Oreochromis niloticus: one gene and its partner. The protein of the gene in region 1 purifies or fractionates together with the protein of each later gene. This does not show direct contact. Links are inferred from orthologs where the notes say so. Each region holds a gene or a part of one and is shown on either strand. Other genes may lie near its edges.

Region 1 (12,395 bases):
TTGTTTAGGTGACATTTCATTGCAGCACACAGATTTTTTTCTTCTCATGCCAGTCATGAGAGTGGAGTGATACTGGAGCTGATGCCAACAATGTGCACCAAAGTCGCGTGAGCGAAATCAGTGATGCTTCTCTTTGAGATTCTTGTGATGTGGCTCAGTTCTCCAACTACCTACAGTTAAACACAGTTAGATTAGATTCAGATTTAATTTAATTGAAATCAAGTAGGTGACTTAAAAATGTTATTTGAACCTTTAACAGTGACAACAATTTTGTTTGTAGGTGTAATATAAAAAAAGAAATTTTACTTTACCTCTTCCCACTTTCTGAGGATGAATGCAGCCACAGCGATGACACCAACACCCAGAAGCATACAGTCTTCAGTCACTGGTACAAATTTTTCCCTGGTTTTCACAAATGATTGATGACATATTAAATCACACAAAATCAAAACATTTATATTAACAGTGGATGGGGTAATTCTATATACTGATATCAGTCTCTTGTGACATTAAAAGTCTTTCAGCTCTCCGCTTTGGTTGATTAATTACAAATATTTTTTCACTCCCAGCATTGTTTAAAAAAAAACATACAGTTTACACAGTTTAGAAAACACAGTCTCAAAATTTTAGGTAAATAACTCAAACTTGAGAGAAAATCACTAAGTTGAACTAAACTGAACTTTTCAGAAAGTAACCTGAAATTTTGAGGTGGATGGAAAAAAATGTTGGGGTTTCGTTTTTGTTTTTACTTGCAAGCAAGAGGACAAGAAGGGTTCAGATCCAGCCTGGGGCCTCTGTGTGGAGTCTGCATGTTCTCCCTGTGTCTGTGTGGGTTTTCTCCAAGTACTCTGGGTCCCTCCACAGTCCAAACACATACATGGGGTTAGGTTAATGGGTGTTTTTAAATTGACTGTAGGTGTGAATGTGAGCGTGATGGTTGGCTGTTTCTCTGTGTTAGCCCTGCAACAGATTGCTGACCTGTCCAATGTGTACTGTACCGCATCTCTCACCCGCTCTAAACTGGATAAGCAGAACAAAATGGATGGAAACAAGACTCCATTTCTGATGCAACATCTTAAATTATTATGAACAATAGTAGTCCTGACGAGCTGTAGGCTTTTGAATTAAGTGAAGTGACACTGAAGTATCTGTGTGGCAACCAGAAAAGAGCTGGTCGAATTCTCTAAATACTAAAGAATGGCGCTTCAGGGCTTCCTGTATTACCTCCTTCAGCAGAGAATACAGCAGACCAACCTTTATGAAAGGAAAGCAGATAAAGCTGTCCCATAATTCACAGCAATACATCATCAGACCAAAGGATCAATATGACTGATGTATGTAATGCAGATCATGTAAATGTTTTTTAATTGTATGTTCAACTTTGTGCCATAACCTGCTAAGTTTTGAAGAAGGTAAAAAAAAGGAAAAGGGTCTTTAAATCAGGATGATGAGCTATTTAAGGTTTATTGTAATTCAGTTTGCTAACTCAGTCAGTTATGTCCTCAGTTTAATTGCTGCTGTATTGCCAACCTTTATGATTGCGATGAAATTTTTTAACTTCAGTCAGAGAAAGCCTTAATATAGGCAGGAATTACACTGGATCTGGAAATATGAGCTGATGGGATGAGAAAGTAATCTCAGGGTGACAAACATTTCATTTCACTTTATAGGCCATTTATTTCTTTTTATTTAAATTTATAACTTCAGTAATGAAGTCATATTTTCACAGTTTCTCTATTATATGAGCCGTATAAAACAGTATTATAAGGACAGTGAAAAGGGCAAAGTATATAGGATGAACCTTTTGTAGTCAGATTTCAGCACATTGCTGTCTTAACATCAAAAACCTATGTATCCAACATCTGTGGCCACATTATTAAGCAGCTAATGCAAGTGCAGCCAGATTCTCTGAGCACTGTGGTTCTCTTTCCCTGAGTCCTTATGAATTCTTCAAATCTTTAATGGATCTCATGACATTTCCCATCAAGGTCACACAAAAGTGATTTGGACCATCTGACCTTTGAATGTACTCCAAAGCTGCATGTCCATTCTACCATCTATCAGAAATATTTTCTTAGAGCCAAATCTAATACCTCTGTTCCCTGGATGGGCTGACACACTCAGTGGTTGCCATTAACAAGGTTTCATAGATGGCAGTCCTCTCCAGGCTGATAAACTGGAGAACATGGTGGCAGTAGTGATAAAGGTGCTTCAAAGGGATTGATGGCTCATTGTGTCCTACAAGAGTTTATGTAATCATCTCAAAGCCCTGACATTAATATTTATAATATGTAATAAACTTTTCTGTGCATACACGGACCCTTACCGAGAACTTCCAGAAGTATTTCCACATAAGTCAGTGGGTTGAGGACATTTAGTCTGAATTTAAGCCCTTTCAAGACCATCAGCTCTGATTCCAGGAGAGCCTGTTTGGATACAGTGCAGCCGACTGAGTGTAGAAAATGTACAGCAGTGTTGTTGTCAATCATCTGGAAAAGGTGTGGAAAAATTATGCAAGATTATTCTATTTGTGATCTCAGGGTAATTGACATAAGTAATCATTGGCAAGGCAGAACTTGCATGACTGTGCAGAGACAGTTTGCTCGCAAGCTGGACACAGGAGAAGATGATCAGCGGGAATTTGTCCTTCAGTTTGTTATAAACAGCATCCTCATAATGTCTCGGATGATTAGAAGTTGCACCTTTAGGTGTGGGTGTGGTTATGTAATCTTCAATGTATTTGACCATGAACCTGGCAAAGATAATTATTAGAATTATTATTATAAGTGACAGTATATTAAGTATGACTAAAACCAGTAATACACAGGGTGTAACCAACAGGGAAAGTTACATGTGCTGCGTGATCATACCTTTGAAGTAATTCAACAGCGTGGTAGCCAGCCAGCGGATCCAGTCTCAGTTCTTTAGTTATCAGTAAGATGTACTCTGAGTAACACAGGAGAGGAAGGCACAAGAGCAAAACATAAAACATTCAAAATAATTTAGAAGCAACATTAAAGGGACACTTGACCCCAAATTCAAATTTGCCAATGTTTCTATACTAGTTTGATGTGAGTTCTCCAGTTTAAGAGCTGCTGAGAAGTCTACCTTCAGTTAATCACATATTCTAAGGACTGGTGCTCAAAAAGCCATTAGCCAGTGAGTATATCCTGGATACTTTTCCTTTCTGACTTTTAGAATAGACCAAAGATTCACTCATTTGACCTGAAACTAGTGGTTTAGCCCATAAAGTCCTCAGGAAGTTATTACAGAGATCAGAGCTGTTTCCCCATAAACAACTATAGGACTGAAAGTCTTTTTGGAGCTGGAGAAATCGTTATGGATATTTAAAATATGCGGGTTTAGACCACTTCTGGGTTGGCCACACTTTTTTTAATCCTACAAAGCTTTGTCCATCCTTTATACCTACCTTTCCAAATTGCCTGCCTGTGTATATACAGTTAGAGTGTCTGCTCACCTTTCTCTACCTGCTTTCCAGCCTTCGTGTGTTTTCAGATTTAAGGTTTTAGCAGGTTAGCTTTCAGTTTCCCTTTTGAACCTAATGTTGCATCTTTTGGATTTAAAGCAACTCAATAAATGGCTTGCTTTAAGTTTCCCTTTGCCTACTTGAGACTTTACATTTAGGTCCTCATCTCTGCAACATTTGACAATAACAGGTGAAACCAACACTGATAAGCACTCCTCACAAGGCTGTTCCCATAAATCTAGCCATATAAACTGTATTTTAGCTGATTTGTGGGCTACAAGGAAGCATATGGATTCATTAAAAGTTATTATCACTGTTTTCCATTGCTCCTCCTCATCCTCTCTCACAGGATTTGTCTGCGGAGATGCTCCTAGCTGGTAGACTCAGCTGCCTCAAGGAGTTTATATTGTGAATCGACCTCCATAATGACAGGGTTCACAGATCCAGATGTATGAAAGAGTTCAGAGTGATTACAGGGTGCAATGAGGCTTAGTGGGCCATTCAGAGGTAGTCCTATACAGCTTAGTCACTACCTGCTGACAAAAGACAGACTTCACCCCAAAGGCTTGAGATACACAAGAAACACTCTGCTGTAAGTCTAGTGTGTACACAGTAGTGGTTTATAGTAGTCTATCTACCATGGATGATATGCTGCAGTTTTACTTTAAGTCTGCATTATTTTCATCTGGACTATTTTTTTAACATTATTTTTATCTGAGCAAGGTCACTACAGTTAACTGAAATTAAATGAACAACTATAGGAGTAAAAACATGTTAAAAACTTGATTTAGTCTAATCAATAAATTAATTTATTTTTCATAACCAAAGATGTTTTGTTTACTTAGAATATTAAATAAAAGTAATCCAAACATACATAATGATTTTAGCTGTAGTTTTTGACAGTTTGGACAAGTTTGTCATTGAAGCCAGCCTCAGTTTGCTTTAGCACTTGTTTATTGGGCGTTTACAAGACTATAAAAAGACAGTTGGCCTCACAAAGTGTTGTGTTTGTAGTGTGGCTCTTTACAACACATCTGTCTAGCAGAGAGCCAGCTGTTCTCTCTTATGCTAGCAGTATATTTCATGGTATAATACTTCTGCTGTGCCTTTTCTTTTAAATGCCTTTAGTAAGCATTTTTTTTTTTCTGTTTTATTTTGCTTTGTTGCAGGGGTGTCCAACTCCAGGCCTCATGTGCCGGTGTCGTGCAGGTTTTAGATGTGTCCTTGATCCAACACAGCTGATTTAAATGGCTAAATTATCTCCTCAACATGTCTTGAAGTTCTCCAGAGGCCTGGTAATGAACTAATCATTTGATTCAGGTGTGTTGACCCAGGGTGATATCTAAAACCTGCAGGACACTGGCCCTTGAGGCCTGGAGTTGGAAACCCCTGCTTTATTGAATTTACTGAGCTATTTTTAAACCTTTTTTTTTTTTTTCAGTTTCAAAAATAGCATTTAATTAAATTGTTCTTTCTTGTCACTTTATTTCAATGTATTAAAATTTTAACTTAATTGGATTTTTAACATTTGAGTTGTTTGAGTTATTTGGGTCATTTGATTTCTTTTCTTTATTATATTTTTTTCTTATTGAACTCACTTGTTCTGGCCTATTATATATTATTTTGTTATATGATTTCACTTAAGTTATTTTATAGGGTATGTAATGACCTGGTGTTTTTTTTTTTTTTTTTTTTATCACAGAAAATTCTCAAATTTGGGATATATAAAGTATAGTATACTTCATATACCCCAAATTTGTGTAGTATATCCTCTCAGCGCAGATCTGATAATGTCATTCTGAACTTCCCCCACCATTACAAAACAACAACAACAACAAGAACAAGAAAAACGACTTACAAATAAAATAACAAAGAGTAAAGTAATGAAAAAGGAAAGGAGAAAACAACAAAAAATACAAAAAATATAAATAAACAATCTGTAATTGTGAGGCATGTTAAGAAACAAAACAAACAAACAAAATCTATAATAGTGAGCATTTAAAAAAATCTACAAAGAATTGCAAACACAAAACAACCACATCTAAAATTAAAGAACAAATAAACAAACAAAAAACAAAGATAAAATCTCAGAAATTTGGAGGAAGGTTTAAAAAACCCAAATACATTATAATAAAACAATAAAAAAAAACTTCTACTTGGCTCATTGATAAATTTCAGTTGGCAATAACGGAAAGAAAAACGGTTATTCACGTGATTCCAGCTGAAAATCTTGCGATATATATTTTTTAATTACCGTTACGAATAAAAGAGTACAAACAAATGTTTTCTACAAAATAATAACATTGAGCAATACTCACCAATGACTCTCTTATTTCTGAAATTCCCGCAATATTTCGTTAAACTCGGGAGGTCATCTTTGTTTCTTTTGTCCAGATTTACAAGAAAATCAGTCAGTAGGTCAAAAGAGGCCTCCCCGAATTTTACACCTGCTGCGTTACTTTTACTTGGAGAAAAAAATAATCTTTTCGCCATTTTAAATTACTCTGAGCACGACAGACAGCTACATTTATGTGACAGACTACGCTTAAGTTGTATTTAATTTTTCAAAACTAGACACCCATAAATAAATAACCTGCGTCTTATATTTTCCAAAAGATGGCGCTATTCCCGCACGTTTCCCCCGTAGGACCGTTTTCTAACAGGAACCAAAAACTACTTCAGCGACTCATTTGTAAGTTGCACACGTTGGTTCTGTGGCGGTTCCTCTCAGCGCAGATCTGATAACACCCGGATAGGACACATGCAGCGCGCTTTGACAGAGCAGAGTGTTTAGAACGCAGCGGCGCGTGTAACAGTTGTGAAAGCGCCGTGCTAACCTCACAAATTGCAGATATGGCCGACAAAACGCCGCCTCAGAAATCCAACGCTCCATATGCAACCAGGATAGACCCAACCAAAGAGGGTCTTTCTCAAGATCAGATGCATTTTATCAGACAGGTGGAACTAGAACAGTGGAAGAGGAGAACGTCGAAGCTGCGGACACGAAACGTGGTGACGGGACTCGCTATCGGAGCGCTCGTGTTGGGAATCTGTATCCTTGTCAAACGTCAACGCAAGGTGAACTATGTAACGTTAGCTTAGCATGCTAAAGTTAAGCTGTGTCCTCTGTTTAGGAGTTAGGTTAAGCGCGTTTACCAAGTATTAAGACAAACACAAATGTATGGGCTCAGTCCAAATTTTAGAATTAAGTTAGAGTAATAGCTCTCAGTTTCATTGAATGCTAATGTGACAGCTAGCTCAGGTAGCTGTAAAAGTGTACTGCCAAAGGTAAACATCAGTGTTGTTGCGTTTAAAAGAGAATTAATTAAGAGAGTTCCAGGGTTAGTAATTTAACTTTTTAGAGATGGCAACGAAAAGTGGCCTCTGGAGCACCTCGTTTGAAGGAATTTATTATTCTGTTGATCAATGAAATTCATTACCTGAAAGCAGTGATACTTCCTCGTGTTTTTTTTGGGATAAACGTGTTTCCTGAACGCATCACTGGCAGCTTGTAATGACAGATGTCGAAATCTGAAAGCTTCGTCCTTTTAGACGTCTAGGTGTTGTCTTTACATAAAAAGTAGTTTTATACAGTCGATAACAAAGCTTTTGCCAGGGGAAAAAAAAGTTGTTTAATATAACAATAAAACTATTAGTTACTCCATTACTGCATCCATTTCTGTAACAACTCTTATGGGAGTTAAGCGCGTCAGTAGCAGCCAGGTGCTGTTAATCAAATGTACTTGATAAGTTTGCAAAGTTGCTTCTGAACAAACCATATGACTCCTTGGACAGACGAGACCAAAGTGGATTGACAGTAATGCACAGCATATGAGTACAAACACCTTACTGTCAAGCACAGTGGAGGTATGATGATTTGGACTTGTTTTGCAACCATAGGATCTGGACACCTTGCAATCATTGAGTTTATCATAAACTCCCCTGTATACCAAAGTATTCTAGTGTCAAATCTGTGGCCATCTGTCCAACAGATAATTCTTCTTCATTTCAGGGAATTTGTTTTGTTTTCATGCTTTCAAATATTTCTCTTAACCACGTGCTTCCAAATTAGACGGCTACACATTTTACTCAGTCTCCCAGGAGCGGATCATGGATGAGATCGACGAGGAGGCCAAGCGTGCGAGAATGCAGGGACCAAAAACCGGTGTCAACTGAGATTTAAGTGTCATCTGCTTGTTGTTGGACTTTGTTCCTGTCCTGCACTTAACAAGGAGGAGGACTCATGATGCCACTGATCATATTCCATGGCTGCCTGGCTGCTGTATTCTTTTTTTAATGTTGAGAGAACTGGATCTTGACCAAGATCCAGTTCAACCAATCAAGAACTGGTCTCGATTTGAAGGCAATTGTGTGGCTGACTTAAAACTAAGTGCGGTGTAGTTTTGAAGAAGTTTTCCTGTCAGTGGAAAGGACCAATCCACTGACTTGATCATGACGTTAGAAGCTACACTGTAGCACAATCAGCACCCTTTACTTTAATTGGGGCTGGAAACATCAGGTAAAGGGAATATAAAAAAGAAATCAATGACTTAAAAATCTACAGTGGCCTTCAACAATAGAGAATGCCAGTGACACTGCAGAAATAACATTATTTATGCTGATAAAGTTGATTTATGAAATAAAATAAAAGCCTCATGTATTAGAATGTTTAAAAGCTATGTCTCTGTATGACCATTTATTTAAGAAAAAGACACAGATAAAACCGTAAACATGACACAAGACACCGTAATACTTAGAATCGCATTTATTTTCATCAAAATTTAATATATGGAGTTGGATCTAGCCACCAAATCTCAAGAGCAAAATAAGACATTGTTAGGGAAAGGCACAGATTCAGCATGGCAGGACAGCAGCTTCAGGAAGCAATACAATTATATATTTACATTCAAATAAATCTGGACTAGAAACTTTATTTCCTTGAATATATTAAGATTCGGGAGTTTAGGTGGCAAGAAATTCAGTGTGTGATGGGAATATTTTAAGGCAACAGCTACAGATTCACAGCTTTGACTGATTCCTCTACACCCCACAAAAATAGACATTGTTTAAAACTGTGGGTGGGTAGATCATCACTTCTGTGATCAAACATGAAACGGGAGATTATCTACCTCCCTTGTGGGGGGGAAAAAATGACAGAAAACTCGTCAGCTCTCGCTTGAGTGAATAGTTTTACACACAACTGTGTTAATTGACTGAGAACTACAAGTGGATTTACTAAAGTGCACAAGGTGCTTGGTCTATGGAACAAGCGACAAATTAGACTTTTGTTTGAGAAAGGATTAAGGTAGCTGAAGTATTTAATTTGCTCCTAAATTGTAAACATGATCTATAAATGAATTCCATTATATACACATGTACAGTCAACAGGAAAGCCAGTAGTATAAAGTCTAGGTGGATTTTTTTCCCCATCCTTTCCCCATTTTTCTTTTAAAAAACCAGCTACCAGATTTTGAAAGTGATGCGTAACAGTTTTACACTTGTGCACCATTTAACTGAACTTCTGCTCATGTGTTTAAAGCCAGATTTCCCTTTTGCTGAAGAATTGTACAACATTTCTAACTGTTGGGAAACGATATCTTACTACACAGCTGTACAATGGAGAAAAAGAAAAAAAAAAAAAAAAAATTACCTTTACTATATCTGAAAATATCAGTGATTGCAGTCAAACATCTCCAGGCTGAGTCTAGAGAAAATATAGGTGTCCAAATCAATAAAGGAAGCCAGATAAAGACTACAACAAATAACTGAATGAAGCCCCTGGAAGGCATTGATCACAGTTCTACTAAAAAAACCCCAAGTATGTTCACTGTGCAGCTGCTGAGACATCTTTACCAAACTACAGCGAGTAAGGTGTGTAACAGCTGTCAGTGTGTGTGTGTGTGTGTGTGTGTGTCAGCCTCACTGTTCACATTTCTGTGCTCAGACTGGATTAACAGCAGTGAGTCAGACAAGCAGGAAAACAGCAACTGTTGTCATTCTGCGTCAAAATCGTGGTAAAGTGCTGCAACTCGGCAGCTGCGGCACAGCATACCGCCGCTTGACTGCGTTCAGGCAAAAAGATAAAAATAATGTCGTGATGCGACACTGTGCAGAGCACTGCGGCAGCCTGGAATGAAGGTGGTTACGTCTGAACCGTTGGGATCTGACAGTTTATTTACAAAGAGCAGACACGAACGTGTCACTTGGCTGCTATTCTGTGCTTCAGCTGCAACAAGTTCACCAGGTCGTGATGGTGGGCTGAAATCTGGAGGTTACACTTTCTGTGCAAATCCAGCTCCACTGGTGACGAGTTTCTATACATTTGAGGTAAGTGGCCACCGGCGGACAGGGAGCAGTTTGCAGATAGGTGTGCCAGGGTTAAAGCGATCCTCCTACGGGACAGGTTTGACCACTGCAGTCACACTTCAGATGAGGTAGTCCAAATAACGGCGTGCTTGGCTGGGAGTTTGTTACTAGAAAAGTGAAATATAAGAATACGATTTAGGAGGACAATGGTTAAAGGGTGGCTACAGGTTCTTATGAGTATAAACCTCTCCTGACATTTTTGCCTCCTCTACACATTCAGGTCAGGAAATGTAACTCGATGTATTAGGCTCTTTCAGGCTGTTTTAATAGGCGTTGAAACAGTTAGCAGTAACAGTTGGATGATAAAACACATTAGCTGATTTAATGGATGTAACAGTTTAAGCTAAAGACTGCATATAAAAGATGGATGTGGTAATTGTGACATCACCCATTAGTAATTGAAGCCTCAAGCTAAGCGTTTTTGCAGTCATGACCCATTAGCAAGTGAATGCTCGGTTTCTAAGATGGCTTTCTGAAACATCTGAGAAACCGATGGACGCTGCACACTGGTAGGCTAACGACTAATGGATGTAACTCCGGTTTATCCTCCATTCTGACTCTGGGTGGGATCATAATTTACAAAATGAACATCATGTTGTATTGAATAAGACACAAAACTTGGAATTGAGTGTTTCATGACGTCACATGTCAAGGCAAGCCAACTGGAGGAGTTGCCCCCCTGCTGGCCATTAGAAATAATGCAAGTTTAAGGGTCTTCAGCATTCCCTTACTTTCCAGACCCAGAAGCCATCTTTTGCATACAGACTGTTTTAGATCCAGGGATTTAATGGAAACCCTGAAGATGCTTTTAAAGTTTAGTGACAAATATGAGGATAATGAGACATGACGACGAGAATAACAATTACTCTTGGTGGTTCAGGCTTTGTTGGTTAATCTAATTTGGATCAACAATAATATTTTTACTTTGTTTTCATAATAATAAACAACTGGAGGACCATGTTTGCATTTCAGCTCACTGTCATGTTGATGAGACATCAGAGGAAAAAAACATTTTTTATGTGAATTTCAATTGGAAGTTTTTTCTTAATTTGAATTTAATGGCGTTTTAAAAACGGCATTAAAATAAAGGCATGAATTGGTTTTTATGGCTACACCTGTGCGTTTATGTTAATTAATGTGCAAACAATCGCTAAATTTAACTTGTTTATACCTGCAGACACCCTGTTTCATTTGTCATATAATTCAAAAGCTTGTTAAGGAAGTGCTGACTCACCATTCTACTTAGGTCTGTGGCAAAAGTGACGCCTTTGCAAGGTTTGTCCTGCGAGCCACTGCTGCTGCCTCCAAGAGAGTTTCTCCTAATGATACCTTGGAAAGCAGTACATGACTTATAAAACTCATTCAGACTCGAAGCTGTTGCATATTTACATGATAATAACTCTAATAAAGAAAGGAATATTCTTTGTTACCTTGAAGCGGTAACATCTCCAGTCGCTGAAGGCTGTTCCTGCGAGACGAAGGAAAACCGTTTCCTTTGGAGAGGCGGCGCTGTCGGCTGGACAGCATAGCAGCAGGAGAGACGATGCCCGGAGGGGGGACCTTTCCCATCTTCTTATACAGTTCCTCAATTTCTCTTTTCTGGGCAGCCTGCAGGGCCAGAACTTCTGCCAGATGTCTGATAAAGGACAAAAAGAAGCACATTTAAAGACTCACTCAATCAGAATTTTAATTTAGGCCTTTGATTAAGTTATGTACTGCATTTGAACATGACTTTGGGAGAGTTGGGGGTTTTATCTAAACACAATCTGTTTACAGTAAAGACAATAAGTCTGTTCTCTTGTCTGGCAAATCTCGACATCTCCTTGTTATTCTTTATATCAAAACAGACGCAATTTTTTTTCAGTGCTCTCAAACTCAATTTGATACCCAAAAGACTGCCAGATATGAATGCTCATAATGTAGCTTGTCTAGGTAAACAGTTTAAAATGTTCCTCAAACAGCTTTTTTTGGTACTCTGTTACCTTAACTATCTTAAGTGGTGTCACTTACTTCTCTCTGAGCTCCTGAAGCTCTTCCAGCATGTCCTCATCTTCACTGTCTGAGTCATCACTGCTTAGGTAGGGAGCACTGCGGTTATAAGTCATCATCCATAAATTGTGAAGGGCATTGGTGTACTGTGGACTGTCCGCTGCTCCGTCCCATAGCCTCCCCTCTGTATCAGCAGCCGTCACAGAGAGCCCGCTGTCTGCAGATGTTCCCAGTAGGCTCAGGCTGTACGCCCTTCGACGGCTTCTCCTCCTCCCCCTCGGCTGTTCCCCGATAACCTCTTCCTCATCTTCATCTTCCTCTTCCTGCTGCTGCTTCTGGCTGACTGCCCATCCAGCCTGCCCGTCGGCCTCCTGTTGGACTCCCGAAGAACCTTTGCGGGGTTGTGGCTGAGGAGGGGTCATTGTGAGGGAGGTGGCCAGGCTCGCCTCAGACTCACCCTGCTCCTCTGTGCTGCTCTCCGACTGGTTGCTGCTGTTCTCTGCGGGCTTGGGGGCTGCAGGTGCAGGCGCATCAGGCAAAGGGATGTCCATGC
Region 2 (13,606 bases), on another chromosome or scaffold:
ACTGAACATCATGGACAACCCATCACACCTGCTCCTTTCTACACTACAGAGCTCATTCTCCCTCAGACTTATTCAACCTTGTTGCCATAAAGAACCATTCTTGCATTACCAATCTGCAGAATTCTGTTTTACATAACCTCAGTCTTATTATGTTTTCTATTTCATTCATATTTCATTTTTTATCACAGTTTTACATGAAATTTTCACATTTTACAGCCTTCGGTGTTTTCCTATCGTACTTTTTAAAAATATTTCTGTTGTTCATTATACTGTTTTTATTTTTATTCTTTCTGCTGCTGAAGTAATTTCCCTTTTGGGATCAACAAATCCATCCAAAGGATTCTTCCTGGGTTGTACAAACGGCCTCACAACATTCACACCACACATCTCAAATAAATTTGCTGAGATAAAACGAACAAAGAAAATTGACAGAAGACACCGCAATCTATTATTTAAAGTAGCAATGAAACTTCTTCATGAATCCAAACCATTTATTTTAATAACATCTGCTCTCAAATCCACTTCAAATATTTCCTGTCAGTGGACTGTGCTTGAGGTATTTCTGCAGAAATACACCCATGCTGTAGTTAGAATTAGTTTCAGTTCATTTTCGTGCACTGATAGAAGAAGTACTTATCTTTACTGAAACTAGAATACTACATTCACAATTTAAACCACTTTCACATCTCTAACATCTCTGTTTTAATTCCATGTTTTATTTTGTTTATTACTATTATTTATTTATTTTTGCTGATATGGCAGTGTGTAAGTAGCATGTAAGAGTAACTAGTCAATGTAGGGACCACTTTATTAGCTTTTTATACATTTAAAAATAATGTAAGTAGCTGTCAGATTTCTGTTTTCTCACTTAATGTGCTGGAGTAGAAAGTAGCATCAAATGAATACGGATATTAGGAAAATATACAGTGTCATTTGTTTAAAAACTTCCATGAGTTCATCACAGTCTTGCTTCAGATACGACCACACTGTCATTTAGTTTTCATTTTACAAGAATTACATTATGCAGAGTATGGGAGACTGAAGCTATAGATTGGAATGGTCACAAAGCATGAAATAATCTGTAGACACGTGCGAATATGAACTTTGCACCACTAAATTATTAGAAAACCGCAGCTACTGTAACAATTCATGACGTCTAGCACTCTGAGGTTATTGGCTGTACCTTGGTCCAGGTTAAAGACAAAAGGTGATTGTGGCTCCAAAGTTATGGAACTTGCTTCCACTGGATCTAAAGTCTGTGGACTGCTTGATATCTTTAAAAATAAACTTAAGACCCATATATGCAGGATTGCTTTTATTTAGTTTTTTAATATACCATTTTATTTGTATCGTACTCTGTGCTGTAAAGCACTCTGTGTATTTTGTTCTTGAATAAAGCTATTAAAAAAACCTTAATTCAACAGGCTGCTGCTAAACCATACAAAAACCCCCAAAGCTGGGCAGTGATTATTCTAAAAGTGATTTTAGGCTTTTTTTAAATTGTCAAGGCAGAGATGCAGTCATGTGAAAAAGAAAGCTTTCACATGGCTCTGGTTGTAGAACCACCTTAAGAGCAATAACTTGAAGTGCTTGCTTTGTGTATGAGTTTATCAGTCGCTCACAGCGTGGAGAAACTTTGACCCATTGTTTTTTTGTAACACCGCTTCAGTTCATTGAGGTTTGTGGATATTTGTTTATGCACAGTTCTCTTAAGGTCCAGCCACAGCATTTCAATGAGGTTGAGGTCTGGACTGGATCAACTACAACACCTTGATTCTTTTCTTTTTCAGATGTTTTCTTGTAGATTTGCTGTTGTGCTGTGGATTATTGTCCTGTTCCTTGACCCAGATTTGACCAAGCTCTCAGACAGATGGCCTCAGATACAGAGGGTTTCATGGCCAGTTCAGTAACTGCAAGGTGCCCAGGTCTTGTGGCTGCAAAAAAATCATCACCCCTCTTCCATTACGCAACTGTTGGTATGAGGTGTTTGTACTGATATGCTGTTTGTGTTTTCAGTTTGTCTTCTTTGTTTGTGTCCAGAGGACTTTGTTCCAGAAGACTTGTAGTTTGTTCAAATGCAGCTCTATAAACCTAAGCCTATAGAAGCAGTAAGGCTTCACTTTACCTTAGCATGGCTGAACAGTCCTTTTGCAAATGACTGTATAAGACACAGCTTAATAAGTTTAACACATAAGAGGCAATAAGAGACCTGGGAAACATGTAGATGTTTTCAAAAATCAGTTTCATTGAACATTCAGCTCAAAACAATTGCAGTAGAAAATGTTTCATCGACACAATTAACTGATTAATTCTAACCTCAATTACAAAAGGTGTTTCTGTAGTCTCACAATAAATATTAACTTTTTAATATTTGGATTTAGAATAATCAGTTAAGTGTTAACATAGAATTTATCTAGTTCTTAGAACGGATATCCACACAAAACAAAATTCACACATTCCTGTGATCTGATTCAGTATAGAGCCGGTCTTCCAGATCATAAATCAAGAGCCAAAATGCACACGTGCATCATCCAGACTGACATTCTCCGTCGCATTAGTGGCAGTAACGAGAAGCATGCACGCTAGAAATGCATCTACGGAAGGATTAAAGTTGGGGCTTTTGAATGGGCCAAATCTCTGGTTCAGCGTCATCTAAAACTTTCAGACTTCACTTATATATGTGAATTTTCCTTTAGATCTTTTATAAACAAGAAATTTAATAAAGAACACACATTTATCCTATCAGTTGTAAAATCATTACCTAAAAATTAATAATTTAGAACTTGATCTCTGTATGGCTAAAAGCAAATGCATTGGTTTAAACCTCTAGAATCTAAACTTTTACACAAAACAGGATATCAAAACCCATTGCAGGGGAAAAAAACCCAAAGTTGCATAAAAAAAAAAATCCATAAAAGCTTTCATCACTGCAGCATCAACCTGTAAAAGGTGGACATGGGCCAACAGTGCACATATGATGCTTGCCCTTAAAACATTTTGGCCTAACTGGCCAGCGCCCCACAAGTTCCCATCAGCGAGAGAGACTTTTTATGGAACACAGACTATAGGTTCAGCTTTTTCATTCTCCTGTGCTACACAAGTAGCAGTGTGCATGCTGAATTGGCAGCAATATATTTGTTTGCGTGTGTGTGTGTGTGTGTGTGTGTGTGTGTGTGTGTGTGTGTGTGTGTGTGTGTGTGCGTGCATGTGTGTGTCATGGGTACTCCCGACTGAAGGTCTTAGCACAGATCCAGGACGGACTTGTTAATAACAGGGTTGGTCCAGTCGTTCCTCAGATCATCCAAGTGATTGTCAAAATCAATCAAGTTCTCATAGGAACGGCCCACCAGCAGGGCAGATGTGATTTTCTGTGCTTCGCTCCAGTCCTCAAAGGAGTCACTGGAAAACAGTTTTTTTGAAAAAATTATATATTCAAGCTATTAATACTGAAAATACAGGGTAATTACAGTGTAATGTACTTTGTCTAAATAATCCAAGTAAATGAGAGAACACTTGGAGTTGTAAATATGCTGGAAGCTCCGAGCTAGCTGCACAAATAGTCGGCAGAGGGAGATAAAATCTCACACTAAAATAGCTCTTAACACTTACGCCGTTACTTCTCTGCTTTTCCACTTGTTTTCATGGTGATCATAGATCAAGACGATGGGTTCGGAACAGCTCATTGTTAACTTACTGCTGTCCACCTGCAGGAAAACACGCAAAATTTACTGTGAATTTAGGTGCAACTTTTAGGTGATAACAACAACAACTGCAGACCAGACCAGGGTCTAAGAAAAATGTCTTTCAGAAAAAGTGTTATATATTTTATAATACATGTAATTATTTCGCCCAGACACGTCTGAGACTGAGAGCTGCATGTCAGACTCTGAACGATCCAGTAAAAAGGCAGCTACTTCAATGATCTCCAACAAAACAATGCTTTGCAAAATATGGAAGAAAACTGTTCCTGCTAAAGGTGGAAACGACAAACTTGTGTCACCACTTGAGGCAAAAACACCCCGTTGAGTATGATGGCATGTAAGGAGGAGATATAAGCAGCTGGGGATATGTCGAGCTGGAGCACTTGCCAGCTGTACTACAAATGACAGGTAGAGCAAATAGTGGCTAGAAATTACTGATGCGGTTACATGGTGGAAAAGCAGCTGACTTTAAGCAGCTGGTTAAAAAAGCACCCTGGGTAGAAATTATTTTGTTTTATTTCAGTTTTAGTATGTTTCAAAGTACTAATTCAAAATCTTTGCACAACCAAACGTGTGACAAAATTCCACAGAAACAATTCGAACTCATCGCACACTCTCCCACTTACAGCTAATACGTTTAAACTATAAAATTACAACCAGGCTCTTGCTGAAGGTCAACAGGACCGAAACATTGTCATTTATTAAATGCGAGGATATTGTGCTTACATTTGCTGTGTCACTGCTATTGCACTACAATGCCGCTGCTGCTGCTGGCACCTTGTGGCGATAGATTCACACTTCAAATTGGGCAGTGTGTCATCAGTGATAGCAGCTCATTGGAAAAGAAGGATGAAAGATGTGCTACACTTTGTTTGCATGGATTAAATCCTGCTGTCTGCGAGCTGCAATCACCTATAAAGGGCTCAGCATTTTTTTCTACATCATCATAAATGTCATTATAGCAAATTTCACTGAAATATCTGAAAGAATTTTGAGGCTTTATTTTCAACCTGTAGAACCACATCAGTCACTCTACTTATACAATATTATATATTACTGTATAAATAGAGACATAAATAGAGGCTTGTGCTGACAAGTGTATTTAAGGATTTTGGTTCATTTTTACTGAACTAAAACTCAGCTGCTACCTGAAGAGGATGCATTTATAACAATGGATGCAGCACTTGCTTTGGAGAAAAAACCCCAAAACATAACGTGTAACCCAGTTGCATCAGCCTCAATAATTTATAGTTACCATAACAATTGCTGCTTCACTGAAGTTCTCAGAAATTCTGGCCGCCACTTTCTCTGCAACTTGGTTGGGCCTGCAGGAGAAAAGATCAAGCATATATTAAAGTGAAGTCCAAACCAGGATGCAGCATGGTTTCTCAGTGGTTGTTTTTCCCTGGAACAGCAGGGCGCCAGTGTTTCTACCTTGAATCCTTTGTGCGTTCGTTGGCTTGATAATATCCGACAATGACATAATTATTTTCTTTACACCAAGTGTCAATCTGGAGTTGGAGCAGGGGCCCATCAGGTCGAGATATAAGAACAGAAACATAGTTTAGGTCAGGTATATTTTATTTTAAACATAGGAAAATGAGCTAGACTGAAACTTTATAACTATTTCAGAGCTGCAGACATTAATTTGATATTATTTCCAATCTCACTACCATAAATAAAAGTGAGACAACATTAGTAATGGATTTTAGAGTAGAGCAGGATACTTCAACAGCACCACAACCTAACAAATTGCTACAATAAAACATTTAAAATGAAAGAAAAACTGTAATGTCACTTTAGAGGGCATACTAGATGGCAAGTGTCTAAACCAGAATTTGTAATCAAACAAAAGATAATATTAAACAAAGATGCCCTGAGTAAATACAAAATACAATATTTAGTCAGGGGGGAAAAAAGCTACCCAAACCTACCTGGCTCTGTGAAAAATTTATTGTCCCCTAAACCCAATAACTATTTGTGCCACCCTTGGCAGCAAGACCTGAAGTCAAGTGATAACTGGAGAAATGCCAAAGCATTCCATACAGATTTAAGTGCAGATTTTGACTAGGTAACCTCAAAACTATCACTCTGTGAATGTACTTCTTTTTAACCACTCAGAGCTGGACTTCCTCCTTTTTTTCAGATTATTGTCCTGCTGTATAACCCAAGTGCACTTTCTGGTAGAGCAGAATTCATGGTTCTAATTACAAGTGTAGCCATTTTTCCAGGGCCTAAAACAGCGAAAGCAACCCCAGACCATCACACTAACACTGTGTTTGATTGTTGTTATGATGTTCATATTATGAAATTCTCTGGTAGTTTCATGCCAGTTGTAAACAGGTTTATGGTTTTTGCCTTAGAGCTCTCCAATGGATGCCATTTTCAGCCAGTGAATCATGAACTCTGACCTTAACTGAAGCAAGTGACACTTGTGACACGCAGGTCTTTAGTTGTTTGGGGTTCTTTTGGGACCTCCTGGATGAGTCACTGATGTGCTCTTGGAGTGATTTTGGTAGGCTGGCCAAGCCTGAGAGGGTTCACCACTGTTCCAAGTTTTCTCCACTGGTTGATAATGGCTCTCATCATTCTAATGACAACAAGAATTGCTCTGCAACCTTTCCACGCCAGCACATACTAGTGACTTTTTTTCTTCTTCTGAGTGCCTTTAGATCATAGAAAGATGGAATACTTTGAGTTGTTTTTAAACAGACGTGAAGTGATTTCTTGCTGTAACAGATCTACAGTAGTCAGGCCTGGGTGTGGATAGTGAATTAAGTGATTTTTTTTACTTCAATAAATGAAATCATCACTTTAAAACCTACATTTTCTATTTAATTGGGGCAAATATTTTTTTTTCACAGAACTCTATATGCAGATACTTACCAGCGTTAAGGCTACTTCCAGCATTGGTGCCAGAGCTAGAGTACCGTGAAACAGAGGCACACAGTCCACGCACAGAACTGGCTCACTGTGGCTGTCTTTCTTTTTGTCCTTCTTCTTTTCTGCCACCAGCAATCCATTCACGGCGCAGTGTGGATATTTGGCAGCATGTAAAAGCATTTTACAGTACGTCTGACTTGTCAGCTGAATGGGCATTTTTATAAGAAAATCGGCAGAATTTCAGTAAAGACTAAAGCTGCCAGAGTGGCTAAGTTAGACGATAAGGAGGGGGGGACAGCTGCCTGCTACCGTTAGCTATCGTTACTTAACATGCCCGGAGAAAAGTAGATGTACACCTCAGCAGTTAACTTGCTGCCACGATATGAGGTCGGAAGTACAGTTTGTGATGAGTTCATTAAGCTCTACAATTATCCGAAATGACAGCAGTCCTTTTATGCTGGATAAATTAGTCGGCGTGCAGTCACAGAAGCTAATCTTACTTCCACCTTCCACTCGTTGCTGTAGCACCGGTGGTGCCGTAAATCAGAACTGTCGTAAAACGAGATCAGAGTCCATCCGGTCAAACGCACAATTTACGTTTTTCCGTTCCCAGTCACACTTCCCTTCAGACTGTCGGCGTACGGGAGCAAGAAAGAGACAAGAGGTATGATTTTATTTTATTTTTTTAAACTCAATAATAAATTACTTATCCTTCGTAGATATACATAATTTTAGCATCCACGTCATGTGCATCCTAGGAAAAAGTAACGGCTTGCGAAGAATCGCCTATTTTAACCGAAATAAGTAGTGACTTTGTCGGAGCGGATAGGAGCGAGGACTGGCTAATGTTCCGGGTAGCTGTCATTAGCATGTAGCATCAGATTTATGAAGGCGGGTTTGATGTGAAGATAGTACATGTTTTAGTCATCTGCCGTTATTACGCATTAATGTAGTTTCAGTCAATAGAAGAATGATGAATATTGCATGGTCGCATCAGAGAATCTGGTATTTCTACGAATATTTATCCTCTGGTGCTATGACCTTGTGTTTGTTGCTAATGCTAACATCAGGTTAGCTGGACGGTCGTAGTAAAACCAAACATTTTGCACTCTTAACAATAAGCCCACCAACCTGGACGATTATTTCATGTATGGAAATTTTACATATTGATGGTAACTGACTTATTTTAAAATGAGTCAGGATTTTATGTATATAAATAGCTTATAAAAGATTGTGATGCGTACTATGTAAATATGGAGCACCTACCCTGTGCAGCTTACTCTCTGTTATGTATGTACATGATCTCGTATTGAAACGGGGTTTACTTTAAAAATTAAAAGACAGAAACAATTGTAAAGTTATTTAACCTTTATTAGTGCTTAATACGGTTTCTTAATTTCTCTTATATGACGTTTTCCACAGAATGCTGGCAACCAGAGCCCTAAGCCTTATTGGCAAACGTGCCATTTCCACATCTGTCTGTGTGCGTGGAGGACATGGTAGGTATAAGAAGAAATACATTGAATGTGTTCTATTTATGGCTGGCAGTAAAACAATAGACTCTGCTTGTGCCACTGACCCTTTGAAATCTCTGTTCATATACACCTAAACGTTTAAAATGTACCTTCAGTTGGCCATTTAAAATAAATGAAGCTGTTTGTGTTGTAAAATTAATCCATGTTCTTCCTGTAATACCACATTTCTAATATGTAATGGGAGCTTGGCTGGTGTGAAGAAAAAAAACTTGTCTCTAGTAACTGACACCTTAAGTTAGTAAGTATGGCAATAGATTAAAGAAGATGCACCAGTTTTACATCCAAAATTACACAGAGATAAAATGTTTTTTTTAAGTACAGATTACGCTGGGTTTTACTTTATTAACAAAAACAAAACAAAACAGACTTTTCAGGAGTGCTGTTGCTGCTGCAATGTTGCAGTTTATTATAGGCCAAATGAGAAACTAAACACTGCTCACAATCAGAAACCCACCCACACACACACACACTAATTGTATATAAGACATGGATGGGGCTGTTTTCCCATAAACTTGTATCTAACAAGTCTTTATCCAATCAGAGAAGTGGCCTCACTGCTGGCCATAAAAAAGAATGCAGGTTTAAGGCACTTATCCAGTGGCTTCACCTTTCATACCTGAAAGCTACTATCAATCTTTTATACTACCTGTGAATATTTCTAACATTTTGTTAGCTATAATGTTATTTGATAGCTAACAATGTAGACCAAGCTTGCACCAAATAAATATATCAATCAAAATGTTGACAAGTTTCACAGTTTGACTTGCAGTGTTCTGCAGTTTCAAGTGGCAGTACATCTAAACAGTGATAAACAGTGATAAACAACACTACAGTGAACTAGATCCAGCATTTGAGAGCAGAAATGTAAGAACAAAATTAAAACGAATCTGGTCTTGGAATAAGCCCGGTAACTAAAATAAGGTTTAAAAAAAGCATTGACATTAACTGAGGGATTATGTGTGAAAGTAATTTGATGAGTTACTGTGGTCTCCCCTGCAGGTGTTGCTAAGGTTGAGGACTATGCCCTCCCTGCATACTTTGACAGGCGTGACAGCCCTCTTCCCGACGTCAGCTATGTGCAGAACCTGAGTGCAGAGCAGAAGTCCCTGAAGGAGAAGGAGAAGGGTTCTTGGGTTGCACTCTCTAATGAGGAGAAGATTGCATGTAGGACTCAATAACGCTATAGTGTTGTTCACCCATTTATACTAATGTAATGTATAACTGCACCACTCCTATTATGTAGGATAGCGAGTACTAAAATTGTTTAAATTCATGCTAAATAATGGGAGTGGTGTAATATTCCAAGAGTATTTGTGTTTCCAAATTCTTAAAAAATGTAATCTAGAGTTGTTTTTCCACTTTACAGTGTACCGCATCAGCTTCAAGCAGAGCTTCGCTGAGATGAACCAGGGATCAGGAGAGTGGAAGTCTGTGGTTGGAGGAGTCTTCTTCTTCATTGGCTTCACTGGGCTGGTTGTGCTTTGGCAGAGGAAATATGGTAATTATGAAAAATATTGCTTATATGCAAGGAAACCTGTGTAATATCTGATGTTTAGCTGCCTCAGGTTTCCACGTTGGTTAAGTAAAGAATGCAGTATTGAACACATTTTTTGCGGTATAATCTGGCTCATCACTTGACTCATTTTTTTTTGTTTCTTTCCAGTGTATGGACCTGTTCCACATACGTTTGAGGGTGACTACAAAGAGAAGGAGCTGCAGAGAATGCTGGACATGAGAATGGGCCCAGTGCAGGGTTTCTCAGCCCACTGGGACTACGAAAACAAGCAGTGGAAAAAGTAAAAGACCAAGAGGACCATAACAGTTCTATATACAGGCAGACCAACTCAAAGATACAAAAATACATATATTTCTGTATTTATCAGATGTCCACATTACCTCACATTACCTGTGATTTTTGGAAGACCACTTCCTCTTAAGGTCGTTGTGTATAATAAAAATAAAAATTGTTAAACTGGTTAAACTTCTGATTAACTGTGTTAACTGTATGACTCCTTCATTAACACTGATTTTACATATCAGGTACAAACTATGGCAGCTAGATATAAAATTATTCTTAAGGTTGAAATATATCTAATATATATATCTGTTTGTTTATTATTTTCTGTAACCATAATCCTGAATTTTGAGTACATTTTGGTCTATGGACCGCTGAATATTGCTCCAGTTTTTCTGAGGAAAATAAGATGCAACTATTTGGTTGTTTCTTTTTCTGCTGAAGGGTGTAATGGACTGGTTCTTATATAGCCCTTTTCTACTCTGTCTGAGCACTCAGAACGCTTAAGACAACTCTGTTCACCCATTTGCACAAGCACAATGGTATTTCTATGCAAGTGCATTCTAACATTCACTCGCATTTACAGCAGCTTGGGGTTAGTTCCCGAAGGATATTTGAAATGCAAACTGGAGCACACAGGGGTCAAACCACCAACCTTCCAATAATTACGTGGCCTGCTCTACCGAGCTGTGATGGAGTTTATCATAATCAGAAAAAGTTGTGGAGGAATTTGCATGAAAATTTTTACAAGATGCATGTCTTGGTTCGTTGAAATCTGGATCCAGGAATGTTTGGACTCTTGTACATAATGTACTCTTATGAGAGTAATGAATATTACAATGAGAGGGAAATGTGTGTCATATCTTTACAAACATCACATTGACACAAGAAATTGGAAAACATCCTGTGCTTTTATGGGAGCACAGGCAGCCCCAAAGACCAGAATTTAGAGCCAATGTTTTACCATTATTGCCTGAAGAAAAGTGGCCAAACTGCATAATACTGCTCTGAGGCAACAAACCAAAAATGGTATTTTAGTAAATAAATTAAATCAGAATCTGCCATAAAAACGTATTTCAATTTAAACATGCATAAAAATGAAATTAGACTTAGCAGCAGCTAGGACTGTAAGCTGTGTCACATGCAGACTTGGCCCCGGAAAGGATTGCCCCACCCCCAGATCAAAGATCAATACCTCATCTACTCGTTGTTTAGCTAAGCACGGAGGTGTCTTGTGTCACAAAAGAATAATAAAAATAATCACCAAAAATGTTGTTTGCTGCCTGAAGGCATCAGCATACCATAGAGGGCTAACATTAAAGACTAAACAACCATACAGGGTTAACTTTGATCCCCGTTTACGAAAAATGTTCAAATCCAGGTGGGGCTGAGGCGAAATTGCAGCGATATCTATGGGTTTTCTGTGTTCCTCATAAAATTAAGTTTAAATCTTATACTGTATACTAGGTCTGATTGTGAGCTTATCTCTAGCTTCCCCCTGAAGGTGTAAGCTCAGAAAGCACAGTTGTTGTGTCGCCTGCAACATGCTGTGATGTCACACGCCGGATGAACCCGCAGCTGCACCCGCTTCACGTCAAAATAATCCGGAAGACGACACAGCATGACGGAACTGTTGTTGGGGCTGAAACGAGGTCAAAGCTAAAACAAATACAAGTGGTTTTAAAGCAGTTTAATCTAATAATGCTGTTAAATATGAGGCAAAAGTAGCGTCTGAAGCGAAGGTTATTTAACCGCTTAAAGAGTCAGTGCAGTCACACAGGCTAACCTCGCATTTTGGATTCCATATCCTTGCTCTTCAACGCATTAAAGTCTTTTAGCTAACCGCAGACTGTTCCAGGGATACCATGGGCAACGGAATGAATAAGGTAGGTTTGCTGTTGTTGTTTATGTCATGTCATTACGCTGTTTGGGGGTGTTTTTGATGGTTAAAAGTCCAAAGCGTGGCTGGTAAACGCAGGCGCCAATCACTCGTCGCTAATCAATCACGTGACACGCTCTGCCCTGTCAAAAAAACAAAAAACAAATTTGAATCCAAGCCAGGGCTCCTGTGGTAGACTCTAACCTTCAATACTGTTGTTTGCCAACCTTAAGCATCGGTGTCTGCATGTCATGTTTTGTTGCTGTGATATTGCACTCTCATTGTTAATTGACAGTTAAAAGGGTCCTCCTAAAAAGAAAAATCTAACTCATTTTGCTTTTATTAAAAAGTAAGATTGTTTATATTGTTTTGTTCTTAAAAATGAAATTGGTCATCCGCATCTATTTTGAACTGCCACAACAGTGTTCAGGTACTGTAGTGAAATGTTTCATTAGAATCAATCCAGCACTTAATTACCTTCATACAGCTATTGTTTCATAGGTATAGTACCAAAGCTGTACAGTAACACTCAGTGGCTGTTTGCCACCCATCACATCATTCAGATAACCATGCATCATTGCTTCAAACCTTGTATGGCCATAAGGAACGTTTCCTTTGCTCATAGCTCCACTAGGATCTTAAGCCTTAAGCTTTAAATCCAATCTGGCTCGAACTAGAACATTTGTTCTTTTCATGCGAGGTTCTTGAAGCTGAATTGTAATGAACTTCTAAGTGCAACATGTCTGTGACTGCTCCTTCACAGGTTGTTGATGGACTCTACCTTGGGAATATAAGAGGTAAGACAAACATGTATGTAGATTTATTGCTTTAATTACATACAGTATAGAAAGCCCAGTTGGGCCAGGTGTTTGGTGTAGCATTAGAGTACAATATTTTGCTCTGAGCACACTTTAAGTATTATTAATTCTCAAATAATGTTTAATTAGTGGAATTTTAACTCAACATAACGTAATCTTCTATATGAAAAGGTGATACATATTTTTAACATAAGCCCTCCCTTTCAAGCACATATATTTGTAGCTTAAAGAGTAAAATAATGTAATATTGTAAAGTCTCGCCTAGGGCTGTTCGATATAACGATATATATCGGATGACGATAGAAAAACGTCTATCGTTTCATTTTACGCTATCGTTTGTTTCGTGGTGTCGCAAAATAAACTGTTTACGGCAATAATTTTTTCATCATTTTGATGGTCACTGTAGTGGCTATATTAATTTCTTAAAGTTCTCTTTCTCTTATATTTAATATAACCACACTACGGACGGACAAGCGCTTGTTTTTTATGCGTTGTCGTTAGCAACAACGACGGTAAAACCACGGGGTGTCCGCTTGTTTATTTTCCACATAAACCTTTCACAATAAAGCTCAAGATCCTGTTGAGACTTTTCAAAATAAAACGAGTCACGTGAAAGATGCAGAGTATTAACGGATGAGAAGCAAAAAAGAGCCGCCAGGTGCTAAAAAATAAACCTTAGACTCAAACGTTAGAACAGACTTTTCTCCGCAGCATGCTGTGTAATAAATACTCACAAAGAAAACAGCGGCCGTTACAACTTACGTCTAAAAATGTATAGTTCCATGCATCAGTTAAAACACTCGACTCCAGGTACACGACACCCAGCTGGAAACACTTCACCCAAGTCGAGATGCCCGAGATTCACAGAATTTACAGGAAATGTTACATTTTTGTAATTTATATCGTTATATCGACGATAGATGTCTTAATATCGGGATATGAGATTTTGGTCATATCGCACAGCCCTAGTCTCGCCCACAAGAAAATTAAATTGC

Evidence for each region.
Region 2: the proteins of coa3a (region 1) and cox4i1 purify together in Homo sapiens (affinity purification with western blotting; 3 studies listed by BioGRID and IntAct, with this or other methods). This does not show direct contact. The link is inferred for Oreochromis niloticus from reciprocal best matches to the Homo sapiens genes COA3 and COX4I1.

The regions. Positions count from the first base shown.
Region 1 is NC_031973.2:7,303,880-7,316,274, reverse strand, and holds coa3a (cytochrome c oxidase assembly factor 3 homolog, mitochondrial), read left to right. Parts: upstream 1-6,200; 5' UTR 6,201-6,340; coding exon 6,341-6,539; intron 6,540-7,559; coding exon 7,560-7,663; 3' UTR 7,664-8,033; downstream 8,034-12,395. Other genes in the region: cntd1 (cyclin N-terminal domain-containing protein 1), read right to left, coding at 54-170, 312-402, 2,094-2,238, 2,327-2,489, 2,581-2,752, 2,871-2,946, 5,806-5,980; wnk4a (serine/threonine-protein kinase WNK4), read right to left, coding at 9,958-9,960, 11,088-11,182, 11,284-11,489, 11,864-12,395. UniProt on the Homo sapiens protein: Core component of the MITRAC (mitochondrial translation regulation assembly intermediate of cytochrome c oxidase complex) complex, that regulates cytochrome c oxidase assembly.
Region 2 is NC_031965.2:23,276,480-23,290,085, reverse strand, and holds cox4i1 (cytochrome c oxidase subunit 4 isoform 1, mitochondrial), read left to right. Parts: upstream 1-7,113; 5' UTR 7,114-7,248; intron 7,249-8,006; 5' UTR 8,007-8,007; coding exon 8,008-8,083; intron 8,084-9,118; coding exon 9,119-9,283; intron 9,284-9,485; coding exon 9,486-9,617; intron 9,618-9,782; coding exon 9,783-9,919; 3' UTR 9,920-10,107; downstream 10,108-13,606. Other genes in the region: emc8 (ER membrane protein complex subunit 8), read right to left, coding at 3,240-3,399, 3,610-3,704, 4,957-5,026, 5,136-5,212, 6,588-6,800; dusp22a (dual specificity protein phosphatase 22-A), read left to right, coding at 11,780-11,800, 12,557-12,590. UniProt on the Homo sapiens protein: Component of the cytochrome c oxidase, the last enzyme in the mitochondrial electron transport chain which drives oxidative phosphorylation.